Linked DNA regions of Neurospora crassa OR74A. The main gene of each other region encodes a partner of the protein of the gene in region 2 in a complex. Links are inferred from orthologs where the notes say so. Each region holds a gene or a part of one and is shown on either strand. Other genes may lie near its edges.

Evidence for each region. The genes of interacting proteins can lie anywhere in the genome.
Region 1: the proteins of NCU02036 (region 2) and NCU01695 are in contact, whole or in part, in an NMR structure (PDB 6GC3), measured with the Saccharomyces cerevisiae proteins. The link is inferred for Neurospora crassa OR74A from reciprocal best matches to the Saccharomyces cerevisiae genes SEN1 and NRD1. Residues at the interface, in NP_013534.3 of Saccharomyces cerevisiae: Asp2052, Asp2053, Asp2054, Glu2055, Asp2056, Asp2057, Tyr2058, Pro2060, Ser2061, Ile2062, Ser2063; in NP_014148.1 of Saccharomyces cerevisiae: Asp19, Leu20, Lys21, Ser22, Ile24, Ser25, Gly26, Ser27, Arg28, Lys30, Tyr67, Asp70, Ser71, Arg74, Lys123, Met126, Leu127, Ile130, Arg133.

The regions. Positions count from the first base shown.
Region 1 is NC_026502.1:2,698,099-2,705,491, reverse strand, and holds NCU01695 (RNA binding protein Nrd1), read left to right. Parts: upstream 1-2,336; 5' UTR 2,337-3,299; coding exon 3,300-3,428; intron 3,429-3,504; coding exon 3,505-3,750; intron 3,751-3,963; coding exon 3,964-4,066; intron 4,067-4,157; coding exon 4,158-5,214; intron 5,215-5,270; coding exon 5,271-5,439; intron 5,440-5,492; coding exon 5,493-6,008; 3' UTR 6,009-6,435; downstream 6,436-7,393. Other genes in the region: cit-1 (mitochondrial citrate synthase), read right to left, coding at 1-79, 168-361, 447-511, 581-688; NCU01696 (mRNA cleavage factor complex component Pcf11), read right to left, coding at 6,954-7,001, 7,062-7,393. UniProt on the Saccharomyces cerevisiae protein: Plays a role in sequence-specific regulation of nuclear pre-mRNA abundance.
Region 2 is NC_026501.1:1,602,621-1,609,905, forward strand, and holds the start of NCU02036 (tRNA-splicing endonuclease), read right to left. Parts: upstream 5,077-7,285; 5' UTR 4,531-5,076; coding exon 4,148-4,530; intron 4,081-4,147; coding exon 1-4,080. Other genes in the region: NCU02035 (helix-hairpin-helix domain-containing protein), read right to left, coding at 5,487-7,006, 7,061-7,259. UniProt on the Saccharomyces cerevisiae protein: ATP-dependent 5'->3' DNA/RNA helicase required for the expression and maturation of diverse classes of non-protein-coding RNAs like precursor tRNAs, rRNAs and small nuclear (snRNA) and nucleolar (snoRNA) RNAs.

The sequences.
Region 1 (7,393 bases), on a different chromosome or scaffold from region 2:
CGGGCAGCCCACTCGGCAGAAAGGTCGCGGACCTGCTGCTCGGAGGGGACCTCACCGGTCAGGAGAAGCCAGAAGAGACCTGCGTATCAAGTCAATACACAAGACCGCTTAAACACGATATCTCACGGTGCATGGTCCTGGCAAGGCGCGCAGGCGTGTGAACGTACCCTCGGGCAGGGGCTCCTTGCCGCCGGGAGCCTTGGGAAGCAGTTCCTGGCACTCGGGGATGGTCTTGCCGCGGAAACGGATACCCTCCTCGGCGTCGAGGACGGAACCCTCCCAGACAAGGCACTTGATGCCACGGGCACCGCCATAGACCTGGTCGAGAGTGACCTTGTCGACGACCTTGGAACCGTGCTCCCTGAGGTTGGCAGGACAGATCAGCAACACGATAGACGAGTCGAGAAGCTATCGACGGCTTATGCCGAGGCAGAGGTAGAGCTTACTTGCGGAGGGCCTTGATCTTCTCGATGTTCTCGGGGAGGAGCTCAGCGAAGCGCTCCTTGAGAGTCTAGTACGGCCAAAGAAGCGCGGTCAGCGGATGATGTCAGTGTGTCCCCGGCTCATGAGACTGCCTTACCTGAGTCTTGGAAGAGTAGCATCTGGCGGCAGTGAAGGCAGTCTGGCGAGAAGTGAGGTGGATGGAGGACCTCAGGGCGGCGGAGCCCAGGCGCATAACGGGAGCCATGGTTTACTGAGTGGGAGGACGGGATGTGGTGTGGTTGAGGAGAAAGGAACAGTACGGAAAGGAGAGAAGAAAGGGAAAAGGTTCAGGTTGAAGCAATCAAGGCGGCACGGGCTTGAAAAAAAAGCGCAGCCGGGGAGCAGGCAATGCGTGGGAAAATATGCCTGACCTGCCGTCGCAACCAGCGAACCAGGGCAGGTCCAGAGGTCCGTTAGGTGGCTTTGGCGGGCTCTGCTCCCGTCGCTCCTGCCGGGGGATTGGCCTGCCCCGACTGGATGCGAATTGCCCGCAATTGCCAGTGCCAATTGGATCCAATAATGTTCACGGGCGGGAGCAAATAGGCGGGGCTCCCACTCTGCTCGGGCCAGTGGACCGGGGTGTTCGGGCCAGTTCTCTCACGAAGTTGTTGTATTGTACAATACACCGGGCCGCGATGCTCGTGACACGACACGCTGCTTGATCCACAATGGCCGACTCGTAGACAGGCAGATGCTCCTCTTCCCTCGCGAATCCGCGAGTATGAGACTGGAGAAGCCCACACCGTAATCACCGTAGAGGCCGGCGCCAAATCTCCGTTTTTTGATGGATACAATATCCGGCCCTGAATGTGGTCAATTTGGATCATGAAGCTGAACATGGAACTCTGCGGGCCAAAGGTTCAATGTTTCTATCCGGATGTACGTGGAGGTAGCTTGGCCGAGCTGCCGAGCTCGAGCGGGTCAGGGGGTCGCTGACGCCGTTCTAAGGATCGAACGCGGGGCGGCTCCCACACGTGTGTTTCGGTTCCCAAGTCTCCTCCCGTCCATGCGCGCGGTAAAAGGATGGCCGACGACGGAAGACCGGAAGAATACCTGGACACGACCACGCTGAACACTTGCGGCACCGACATCATGTGCGCGTCTCTGCAATCGCATGTGTCTCGAGGGACAGCGGTTGTCAGACCAGACCTCAACATCGCGATGTCAAAACTGCTTGTTCACTCGCATCGATGTCGACACCGGCATGCATTGACGTCACGGCACCCTTTGGGCCTTTGGGACTACCTAGGTATGTACTTGGCCCTTGCGAGATCCCTAACTCATCCGGGGAAGCCGCCCCTTTTGACAGGTGTGGAAACGTTCCTGCTCCGGGTTTCCAGAAAACAATGTTGGAATTGCCAATTGATGGACGGATTGATAATAGATGAACCCGCCTGCACAATCTGTTCCCTAGCACGTCCTCGACACTCAACGCTCATCATCAATGTTCGTGGAACCTTCGGGGTTGCATGGAGAGTCGGATGGAGCACGCAACCGACTCCAGTAAGGGCTTCATCCAATCTCAGGTTGGATGTGGATCAACGGTTGGGGTTCCTAATTTACCGCAATCCGTCTCGGCTTTGTTGCCTTAGTGCCTCATGCTCTTGGTACGTGCGTCAGGCCACAACACGTCCGACACCTCTCTGCAAGGCTTTCGTTTGCTTGTAAAAAGAAGGTTTTCCGAGCCTTCAGTCACAACAGTTCGAGGCGGGTCATTCGAACCAATCAAGGCGTGATTGGGTGGCTCGAAAAAGTGCCTGCCAGTTCGTTCCTCCCCTCGGGCCACGCATCACAGCCACGGTGCCACAGCAGCACAGCACACAGGCAGCAGGGCAGGCAAACCGAAGCGACGAACGGATGCAATCGAACCCGACAGACGACTCGAGCAGAGTCAAGATCAGGGCAGCCACTACAGCCGAGTACCCACCCATACCTGCACCAACCACCGACCACTGGCACTCCCCCGTCCAGTCCACTTCTTCTACTTCTGCAACGACAACTTTTCTTTCTCCCCGCTTTCCAACCCCAACTCCCTCCTCACTTCTCGCATCACCACCACATCACGCTTTTGTCGTCATCAGCGAAAATAATCTTAAACGCCAACGGAGACCGCCTTCGTCAATCCAGCAATCCAGTAATCGACTAGTCGCCCAGGATTTGTCCATGCATCTCGACTCAGCACACGCTCACCTGGATTTTCTCACTTTCTAGTAGCCTCACAGTAAAAGGGTGCGCCCAGATCACATCCGCGCAGGTCAAGTCCTGATCTTGTCTGCCCTTCGTACAGCTGCTTTCGTTGCGGTTCTTGCACGTCGTCACAGCTATCCCCAGTTGGTGGTTTCCACTTCGCGCGTCACGTCAGAAAAATAAAAAGGACCACCGTATTCTTGCTCGCACACACGCCGGCCAGCAACATATATCTCTGGCCTCTCGGCTTCTCTTTTTTTTGCTAGGACTTTGCACTGGCCTACGGCTTCTGCGCTTGTCTTAAGACGCACAGAAAGGACAGTCTCTTCGTACAAGCTGCTCTCTTCTGAGTACCCGGTGGCGCGGGCAAATTGCAGCTTCGTAACCTCGGTGATATACGTCGAGAAGCAAGGAAAGCAGACCTTGGATGCCGACCTGTTTGAGCCTTAATCAACGTACTCCGTCTTTCCACCCGTGACAAAGGAGCATGGTATTGGCATAAAACCTTTAATCAGCCTTCACCGTATCACAACCGTACTACATCGCAGCTTGTATTTCCAAGCCCAACGGCCAAGTTGATTGCCGACTTCAGCTGGTCTTGCTCGATTTTCAAACAAAAATCATCCATCATGTTGTCGTCACAGGCGGCCGTAGCTGAACTAGAGAAGGGCCTCGGGGACATGCAAAACCTGAAACCGCCCGGTGTCTCTGGCTCGAAAATCAATAGCCTCACCATGCTGTGTTTGAACAACGTCCAGGTAAGAAAAGCGCCGTGTCTGGGCTCGACAGTATGCACGATGGAGGCACCAGAGCTAACCACACATCCTTCGACAGTACGAATCACAGCTGGTTCAGAAGTTATATACCCACTACAAGAAGACACCAAACACTCACAAGCTGGGCGTCCTATACGTCGTAGATTCTGTAACCCGCAAATGGTTGGAGAAGGCAAAGGCCCTTGAACAACCCGTCACCCTTGGTGCACAGGATGGCACCTATGCTGCCGGTGTCCATAGAGTGACTGAACTAATGCCCATGTTCATGAACGCCATCATCTCTTCGGCCCCCGAGGATCAAAAGGTACGCACACAACCGCACACTCATGTGCCGTCTTACACTTATACCTCCATTTCTGCCAAACGGACTAGACCCCGAGCACACTTGGGAGCGGCTGTAAGATCAGGCCACACCAGTCGTCTTCACTTTCCTAGACCATATCGTGCATCCATTTTTGGTTGTATTTAGTGTCCAGTATCATGTTGTTCATAAACTCACACCCGTATCGTCTTGTAGGAGAAGATCAAGAAGCTGGTCGACATATGGGAAAAGGGCCAGACGTTTCCTCCCGATATGGTCAACACCTTCAAGGAGAAGCTGAATGCTCATCAACAGCACAGTAGGTTTTGCCCGGATCCTCCTAAGCATATTCCCTTACGCGTGTGCGGTGCTCGTTGTTTGCCTGATCTAACTGTAGCGTGTGCCGATAGATGTCTCGACAACACCACCAGGCAGTCCCCCTCCCAACCCGCTGGCTTCCTTGCAGGCCACTAGCAGACCTCTCCCTACGCCTACAACTACCGCCGTAATGCCGTCCAACATCCTGGAGACCTTAGCAAATCTTGCCCGCTTGAATGCGAATGCGGCTCAGAGTAATTCCAGCGCGGCCGCCCCTGCTCCCGCCCCGGCCGCAACTGCGGCTGTGGCCCCTTCTCCGGTACAAATGGGGGTCCCGCAGATTCCTCCTGTTACTTCTTCCACGCCGCATCCCATGTTTGCTACTTCTGGCCAGCCTAGCAATGGAGCATTGCCAGCCGGATTTCTTCCCGGTGTGGGGCACCCGGGTATGCCGTACTTATCAGCATCGCAGCCGGCGGGGCAGTCGGTGAACATGCCACCGACGATGCCATTTGGCTTCCCAGCTCCGGCCGCACAGCTAGCTCAGCCTGTGCAAGTGCCAGGAGCAGCCCCTAGTGCGAATACCGCTACGACGGTTCAGCTGTTCGCCGCCCTCGCCGCCCAGGGCATCCCTCTTGACAAGATTGCCAGTGTAATGCAGCTGATGGGTCAACCAAGTGGCACCGCCCCGGCAGCACCTCCCCAGTCCGTTGCTCAGCCTCTATATGCCGGCTATCCTCCTCCTCCCCCTGCTGGCGGTGTATCTGCTGCCCCTGCATGGGAGGCCGTGAGACATGATGAATCACGTGATCGTAATGGCTATCATGATGGGATGAGGTCTCCAAATAGGCCTCGGGGTCGCTCTCGCTCACGCTCGCCGCGGCGCTGGGATGTCAGGGGGTCGCCTCGAGCCCGCGGTAACGATCGCTTTGATTATGGGCGGAGCACCCCGCCCCGTGGCCATCCGGATGATCGTGGTAGAGACCGGGATATGCGTATTCCCGAGTACCGACAACGGTCGCCCCCCAACCGTAGACATGAGAGCCCGGGTCAGGAGCCGCCCTCCGAGAAATGGGTCAAACACGATCCTACTCTTCCCAATGGTCACATCAAGGTGTATAGCCGCACGCTGTTTGTCGGTGGTGTGACGTAAGTTTGCCAAGCTGTTCTCCAGCCTATATGTGCATTGACTGACAGACATGTAGATGTTCCGAAGCCGAACTCCGCTCCATTTTTGGTCGCTACGGCGAAGTACAAACGTGCATCGTCAACAAAGAGAAAAGACATGCCTTTGTCAAGATGTACTACCGTCAAGATGCTGAGAATGCAAAGAAAGCCATGGAAGAGAACAGAGGCTCCGACGTCCAGCTGCGGGTAAGTTTGCGACTCATATCTTCGTTATTGGTCGCCAACTAACGATTTTGTAGACTCGTTGGGGTGTTGGCTTTGGCCCCCGTGACTGCAGTGACTACCAGACTGGGATCAGTGTCATTCCTATTCATAAGCTCACCGAAGCCGACCGGAAATGGATGTTGACGGCACCCTATGGCGGAAGTGGTGGCCAACCTATTACCACCGGTCTTGTTGTCGAGGAGCCAGACATTGAGATTGGCGCAGGTGTTTCGTCAAAAGCCATCAGTCGACGTATGCAGACAGACAAAGGGGGTAACCATGGCCCCAAGTCAAGCCGCCGAGATGAGGAGCCCCAGCATCCTACTGGGAACGCAGGTGGACCGCCCCCTGCCGGTAACCGCTGGCGGCATGGTCGCGAGAAGCATCGCAATAACAGTGGCGATGACAGACGCGGCGATCGGAATGACAAGAATGCAGCCAACGATGACCCGATTGTGATGGGCTTGCCTGGAAACATCACTGTTGGACCGAACGGCATCAATTTTCCTCCCAATTATGCCTTCACATCCAACAGCACGTCCAACAACTGAAGGGTTCGGTTCCTGCTGGCTCGCGGAGATAAAGGCCCAGGGAAAAGCTGAGGAAGACGAATCTGAAGAGAGAGCACACAGGCGAGGGATCAGTTAAGGGAGGAGATACCCCTTGAGATGGATAAAGAACCATGGAGAAAAAAAAAGTTACTGCTATGGGGCCGGAGGCTATCGTTATTTGCGGCGTATTGGTATTCTTTTTTCTGGGTCACTACGTTAGTAGAGGGGCAGCGGTAGGGTATTGCTCTAGGTCCGGTGTATCCTATCTGGTTCTTCTTCAAAGCAGAGGGTTGCTTGATGGTTTTGATCCTTCCGCAACTGTATACTTTATCTCTTCTCTTTCGTTAGATGTCTCTTGACGGTTTTACCATTCTGAAAACCGGTATGATAATTGGTAACCTTAGTGAGAACAAACGTACACTTCTTGTATTCTACTGTAGTCCTTGCTGAGAAGCGCCTCGTCCAACCTAATCCTGCATATTATAACGATCTATTTGCAGATTCACTGTGGTCAATGTCCGAGCTAGAATAAGTACTACTGAAGATGGTGTCTGCTCTCATTCGGACGGCATATGACAGAAATCCAGACCAAGGTCAAGTCTCTTCGAGAACGTGTTTAACATTGGCGGTATTGTGCTTCTCCAGCTTACGTATCGCGCTGTGTTTGTACAACTCTGGCAAGTCAATGCACTGGCAAGGTGTTTGCGTTTGACCTCAAACCGATGGCAAAAGCATAGTAACGATAGAGCACTAGCTCAAAAGTGCTTCGAAGATTCGCTTTTGTATTCGGATGATCTTTCGGGTACCCAAGCTTTGTGCTGACCATATGCTCAACAGTACTCGATCAACCACCACCCTTGATCCCTTTACGCCTCCTTTTCCCCTTGATAGCCGTGTTTGGCCCTACCTTCCCACTTACTGACTGGCTCGCGCCTCGCAGCACTCTCAATATTCCAACTTTATCCTTCCCTTGGCCCCTGAGTAAGCATCATCCTGTTTCATCCAAGTTAGCAATGCACTCAACTACACCCTTGCCACGAACTAGAGACTTACCTCAGCTTTCCTCTTCCTCCCCCCCAATCCATTCTCCCCGCCCATGCTCATTAATCCATTGTCACCACCATCTCCAGGCCCAACACCGCCACCAACACTGCCATTTACCTCCTTATGGCAACTGGCATGATATACCCTCTCGCCTACTTTCGTGGCGTCCATCCACACCCACTCCTGCGCCTCATCAAGCCACTTCATCTCGAATCTTTCCTGGCAGATGGGGCACATGTTATTGACTTTGGCAGAATCCTCGGGAACGGGGATGTAGTCGAGACCGCCCCTTTTGCCTCCCTTTCTACCACCGCCGTGACCGGGCATGGCTTTCCCGCCAC
Region 2 (7,285 bases):
TCAATCGTGCGCGCTGCTTCCAGTTGAGGTCTGAGTTCGGCAATCTTCTGCTTGATCTCGCCCGCTTCTTGGTGCAGCTTCTCCCGGTCAGTCGGGCCTTCATCCTTGTTCAACTGAGCCTCGAGTTTCGCCTTGACCAGCTCATCAAGCGTGACATCCTTGACTGCGCTGTTGATGGCATCACTGCGACCGAGACGGACCACCTCAATTTGGTGAGTTGTTCCGTTCTGGGTCTTGACACCATTCTTCAAGCGCAACACCAATTCGTCCACAGCGGCATTACTGGGCGCGCAAACAAGCAGCTTCTTTGCTGGAGCGTTGTTCTTCGCAGCTCCGAGTCCCGGACGCCCAATGGCCACCCCAGCGGTAGGGTTTTTGAGCACGCCGGTCAGAAGACAGCCAACCATTGCCACAATGGTCTTAGTTTTACCGGTACCTGGAGGACCCTGGATAAGGGTGAACCCATCGTTCTCCTTGGCGTTCAGGATCGCCTTCGCTTGACCTGGGTTAAGATTCCAGTTTTTCATGGTGTTCTTGATGTTCTCCTCGCCAAAAGACAGCATAGGAGACGGTTCAGCCCTCAATACCTCGTCCATAAGATCATAGTACTGTAAACTTTCCAGGGCGGCATACTCGCGTTCAATGGTCGTCATGTTGGTGATCTTGACAACGGTAAACTCCGAGCCAGGCAGTAGCGCAGGTAGAATTTGGTTCCCTTTGGCATTCAGGCGGTAGACGACCTCCACATTGTCTTTTTTGTAAGTTGTCTTCCAGATACGCGAAAGACAGTGTAGCTCTTCTGGCTCTTGAAGCGGGTTTTGGCCCTTGGAAATGATGACAATATCTCCTTCAGACAATTGACGGTCTTTGTTGATTGCAACTGGAACCGACGCCGTAACTTCCATGAACTTGTCGACTGTCATGCGACTAAGTACCTTGATGCCAAAGGGCTTGGACGTGGTTTCATCCTTGGCTGTGACAAACGAGCGCCAGGCTTCATTGATGAGCAACGGAAAGAAGGTTTGCTTGTAGCTGACCGGGTCCTGGTAGGTATCCGAGACGTGATCACAACGGTACCCGTTCGGCGGATCGTTACCTTCGTGGAAGATGTCCCACTCCAAGATGGCCTGGTGCAACACATCCATAGGGGGAATAAGGCGAGCGCGCATATCCTTGGCGGACCGCTCGATCTTGACCTTCTTCACCGGTCCGCGCATCTTCTCAGCCAACAACCGATGGGCGCGACGCTCGGCCTCAGTCATATTCTTCTTTCCAGCGGCATGGAGTGTGATCAACTCGTCATCGTCAGACTCATCTTCGTCTTCCGATGATGAACCAACCATGATCTCATCCTTCAGCACTGGGGCGTGGTCTTTGCCACGAACTCCAGCAACACCAGCCAGACCTGAGCCTTCTCCCTGGACCAGCTTCGGTGGCGCACGCAGGGCCTTTGCCCTCGCGATGGCCTCAGCATCTCGCTTGGCCTTGGCTTCTCGCTCAAGCCGCCTAGCCTCCTTGATCTTGTCGGCAGCCTTTGAGTCGATTTTGGGAGGAGCCTTGGCTGGAGCCTCAGCCTTCATCGTCTCCAACAGAGCATTCTTCCGCCTCTCAGTGGCCTTCTCAAAGGCAGGCGTAAGCGAGGCAATGTGGTCTTTGAGTGATGCCTTTGAGAAATCAAGCTTTGCCTGTTTCATAACCGGCTTGACCTCCTGCTTCACAGGCTTTCCACCAACGAACTGCGCTTCGATGGCAGCATCGTCCCCGAGCGCCTTGAGTAGCTCGATCCGTTGCTCGTTGGTGAGATTCGTCTTTATGGGGTAGTCCGTTCGCCCATCAGTCATCTTCCTCTTCTTCAGCATATTGTTGAGATAGGCGACTGTTTTTGGCGGAAGATCCATGCCGTTGTCTTGCAGACGCTTGATCAACTTCTTGGTGATTTCGATAATACCGGCGATAAGATATTTATCGCGGAGTTGCAACATGTCCACTAAGGGAAGCGAGTGTATTCTCGGCGGCTCCAGGACCAACTTCATGCCCTCTGAGCCGTCGTCACCGTTTGTCGCCGAGATGCTTTGAGGACTGCTAAGTGCCGAAGCCATGAGACCGTCTTGGGCGAGGAGCTTCTCTGCAAGTTCCATCACATCACGACAAAAGTCCTCCATGACTTTCTTGTCCACCTTCACGTGCCAGAGTCTCATGGATCCGAACGAGTGGCCGACGGCTCTCCATTCGCAATCCCACCATCCCTTGACGATAGCATGTTCCGCAGGGGTCAGGGTCTTGCGTCTGAGTTGACCTACAGACGGATCACTTAAGCTATTGAGCACGAATTCACAGCATTTCAACAAGTGTTGCATGTGACTCCACGGATTATTGGAGTCTTTGGCGTTGGTGATATGGTTTACGGCGCCAGTGAAGGCCTCCAGGAACTGGCTGAAGTACTCCTCAAGCATCTTATTCACGGCCTCAGATGGCGTCATCTCACCTGTGATGGCTTTGATCAACTCGAAGCCAGCTTCGCGAATGGCTTCCTCACCGTGTATTAGAGTCGCCACGATGGGCTGGATGGTGTTACTCTGCGGATCCGAGCAGAAACTGTCAAGATCAGCCGGGTTGAAGTCAGACAGGCGGCCTAACATTTTGCCAATTGCCGCCGTTTGCTGTTGAAAGCGTCTGTTGAATTTTGCATGCTCGTTCTTGAGCTGGTCTTTCCGCTTAGGGATAAACCGTTCGATACTCCTGAGAGGCATCGTAGCTCTCAACATGGCCTTGGCGAGATCTGTTTGTCCGTTCCAGACGAGCTCGAGGAATGACTCCCACAATGCGCCAGAGTCCCTGTTTACGGCATCTTGAACAGGCTTTTCCTTAACGAAAGCGTCCCACTCCATCAACGTCGCCTTCGCGTCCAATGCCAGGGCAGACTGTATGATAGCTATAGCAGCCTGTGAGAGGCCAACGTTGTACTTGTCCGCGGCCTTGAGCCTGGTCGCGTCAATGATGACTTCCTTGTACTGAATCACTCTGTTGAGTAACTGGTTGACCATAATAAGAGACGTTCCTGTATCAAAGGATGGAAGGCTGAGGTAGCCGTCCAAGCATTCTCTCAAGGTCACCAGACCAGCAAGGATGCAAGTGGCCTTCGCTTCTGGGGCTGCGCCTGCGTCGACCCGGAGAGTTTCGAACAGATGCCGAAGAAGAGTCTCGCAAACGTCTGACCGCCGCGCTGAGGGAAGGGAACGGATAAAGGCCCTGACCCATTCTGCCAACGCTGGTATTAGTTGACCGTTGTTTTCCTGGTCCTCGACCATCATGTCCGGCTCAAGAGACTGGTTTAAAAAGGGCCGAAAAGCCGGGCTCTTGAAGATTTCCTCCACAATCATACTCGGAGTGACTTGGTCATAGGCGTCCCAGAAAGCCTTTGACGAACGCTCCATTAGCGTACGAAGTGCTTTCAGTATCATGCTCAAAGCAGGGACGTTATTGGTGCCGAGGTTTTCGAGAGCAAGGAAGTAGACATTCGGTTGTACTTCCATACCGCGGAGGTTTTCCAAAATACTCTTTTCGCTCATAGCTCGCAAAATGAGGAGGAATCCGCTCCAAAAGCGACACAGCCGCGCCGGGGGCTGTATCCCCCTATGGCCGAGTATATGGGACTTGAGGCCGCTTCTGACAGCCCATTCCCACTCCTCATCGGTGAGGCTTTCCGGCAGCATCCGTTGCCATTGTGCCTCTGCAAACGCCCTGTGCACCGGATACTCTTCGAAAAGGAAGTATGTCATGGTCGGAATTGCGCCTCCCACCATCTTCAGCGGCTTCTTAGGCTGGACATGTTCGAATACGTAATTGAATATCTCTAGGTTTGCTTTGTTGGTGTTCAAGTATGCCATGCAGCAGAGCGATTCGAACAAGGCGAGACACGGCCAAAGTTCGATTCTAACGAGCTTCGTAGTCGGCATGGGACCGTCCCTCTCAAGGATGAATTTGGCTCTCTTGAGGCCGCGCGTGATGCGCTCTTCATCGAAGGCTTCGAGGTTTTTCTGTAGATTCCGCAAGAGCTCGGCGTTGTCTCGGGAAGTGTATCTGTAAATCGGATTAGCTGGGGTCACCAGGCCTACGGTGGACCAAGTAGGTTTTTGCGAATACGCACTGATCAATGGCTCTGATGAATTGCTGGCGTGTCCTATGCCATGTCCTGGCACATTGGTCACATTTTGTGAGAAAGAAGTTGACACGCTCTTTCCACTCGTTGATCCATTTACCAGCCTCTGGCATCACCAACAGAAGCGAAAGGCCGTAGGTAATTCTACGTCTCTCGAACCCGTCAGCGATTCGCTTTTGCTTTTCTGCCACCGTTGTTCCGTTCGCATCGGGGAGGTCTGGCAACGCGTAGTCCGTATCGTCATCGTCGCTGAGCAAAGGGCAAATTGGATGTGCGTCTGGAGGAAACTCTTCAAAGGCTTGATGCATCTCCATCATAGCCATCTGAACGTCCGCGGTCCCCAGCTCTGGGTATTCCATTTTGTCTGACATCTCGGCGGTCGATTCAAGAACGTGATGGCTTCTGGTGGTTGTCTAGGCTGACGGAGCTTGGAGGGCGAAGTGGGTTGCGCTTCGATGGTCGCAAGAAGCAACCTTCAGCGCAAAGCAGACGGAATGGTTTAGAGAAGCCTTTGCATCGACAAGAAGCTTTCGAGGTGAGCGACAGATATGCTAGAGGAACAACTTGTGCGGCAAAAGAATGACAAGAATAGTTGAAGCAAGATGCTCCAGGCAACCGAGGACGAGCAGTGATGCTTTGTCGGAGGGCAAAGGCCGAGATGGCGATGGATGTGCGGGTATCGCTTGCACCCACAGACAAAGGGTTGGAGGAAAATTGTATACCAATAGGACAGAAGAGAAATCCGCGCTCGTGGGGTTTTATGTTCCAGGCCAGTGAAGGAGTCTGACTCCGTTCTTCTTTCACCAAGCAATCGGTGAAGGTTCTCCTGTTGTATGTTGGAGTTGACGGTGCGGCTGTCAGACGGGAGCTTCCTCTGACATGCCAGAGCCAGCGTCCACAGTGCCTGGGAAAGGAAGAGGAATGGACGCTGTAACGAAACCTAGGTTCTGTTGTTGCGCGTCAATCCAGAAGGAACCGCGTCAGACCTAAAGTGCGTGGGGCCGCTAAAAGTTGCAGGGGGGGCAGAGGGGCGCGGCAGGCAGGTCCGATGGTCAGAAACAGGCAGCTGCTCAGCAGCTGTTGCCAGTAGCCAGATGGAGAGCTCCTACATACTTGTATATCATGGTACGGATTCGCCCAACTCCCCATCTCTTCCATGAATCACCAATCTTCGAACATTGAGGTCAAAAGGCCTAGGGAGCTTTCATCCGTCACAACAGTATCAAGAGGGTCTCAAGTTATGGCGGGCCAAAGAGTCAGACTGGAAATTATTGCTTTTGGAAAGAAACCAACTACTTCCAAATCGACTCTTTCCGGCGTTCCCTGTCTATCCATCTCCATGGTCTCCTCCCTTCCCCCGGTCCAGCAGGTGTTCCAACGGGCATTCGGGTGCCTCCCTCCACTCCTTCGTACCAGGCCTTGTCGCCTTCCGGCACTTGAAGCATTGTTGTCCATGGCGGATAAACAGCTGGTGCAAGCCATACTTGAGGTGATCCGGCACTTTCACGTCGCAGTGTCTGAAGCAGTCCTCAGCATTCGCTTTCTCCGGCACCCAACCGAGCCAGCGACAGAACCGGTGGACATGCGTGTCAACTGCAAAGCAGGGCATGCGAAGACAAAAGAGTGTAACGCAGGCAGCACTTTTGATGCCAATACCGGGATACTGGACAAGCTTGGCCATGGCCTCGTCTTTGGTGACGGTGTGCATGTGGTCTAGGTTCAACGTCTCTGAGAAGGCGACTTCTCGCTTACCGCCCGTTCCCTTGTTCTCCATTGCCATCTGCGCCATCTCCAACGCAACCATGTCGAGGATTAGCTTGATATGCTTGGCCTTCTGGTTTCCGTTCCCCGAAACCTTGATAGCCTGGGCCAGCTTTTCCTCTGGCTCGCTGGCAACCTTTTCCCAGTTGATGCTTCCGATGCCTGAGCCGTGTTCTCGTAAACCGTACTCTTGAGCTACGTTCCTGATCGCTCGGTCCGCCATGGCCATCAGTGTGTTGCCGCTAATCAGCGTCCGGAGGAGGGCGTCCAATACGCAAGGTACCTCGCCACATCCGGCCTTCTCCAAAGATGCCTTGGGTATTTCCTTGGGTTGCTCTACCTTGCCATGCATGGTTGCCAAGACGCGGTACACATCCTCGCATGCTTCAGAGGTAGGAGCCTGACGATTGGGGTAGGGTGAGAACCCTGGCGTGAACCCCATGGGATTATTTGGGCCCCTTCTCACTGGCATTCTGTAGTCAGGGCTGTCACGGTCCACGGTGGCTATTCTTGTGGCGGTGACCTTGGCTGCCTTCTTGCTGGTCTTGACAATAATATGTCCATTGCCGCTATCGAGGTTTTTGTCGGTTTCTGTATTTGGCCTCTTGGAAGACGACCTGGTACCCCGTCGATCCCGTTCAGTGTGTTCCTCGTCTTTGTCGTCGTCGTCGTCGTCGTCGTCGTCGTCGTCGTCGTCGTTGGGGGTGTTCACCTCAATAGTGTTATCCAGAGAAGTGCCCATGATGTTCTCTACAGCTTCTGTCGCAGCTGCATCTTTCGTCCGATCCTTGATGATGGCGGACTGAACCTTGGTCCGGCGTTCGGTCACACCTCGGGTATGATGTACCGAGATATCATCAGGTCTAGTCACTTGTAGGGGCCCTATACTGATCGGCGTCTTCTGCGCCTTCACATCCTCGGTCCGAATCTTTGTAGTTTCGAGCGAAGTTTGACTCTGGCGTTTGGCCACACTTCGCGTTAAATGCACCGGCGCATTGGAAGAACTGCTCAGCGAATCTGGTGTCTCTGGAATTGTACCAGGGGTTGGCAGAACGCCCATGCTAGGAGGCAAGACATCCCGACCACCTATGTACTCAACTAATTAGCAGGCTGAAATCGAGAGCAAAGAAGTGAGCGAACCTTTGAGAGGATGCGCCGGCGTGGCATGTCCCCGCTTCCGTTTCCCTCTCGTCCAGGATTCAGCCTCAACCGAAGCTACAATAGTCTCAGATACATGATCTGGAACAAGGATCGGATTCTGGAGGGGGTTCGCAACCACGATGTGTTCCTCGGTGTTTACTTTGAGCCTCTTGGCGGCTGAACGGGTTTGAATTCTCATCGCAGCGATCGACGCAAGTTGCTTTG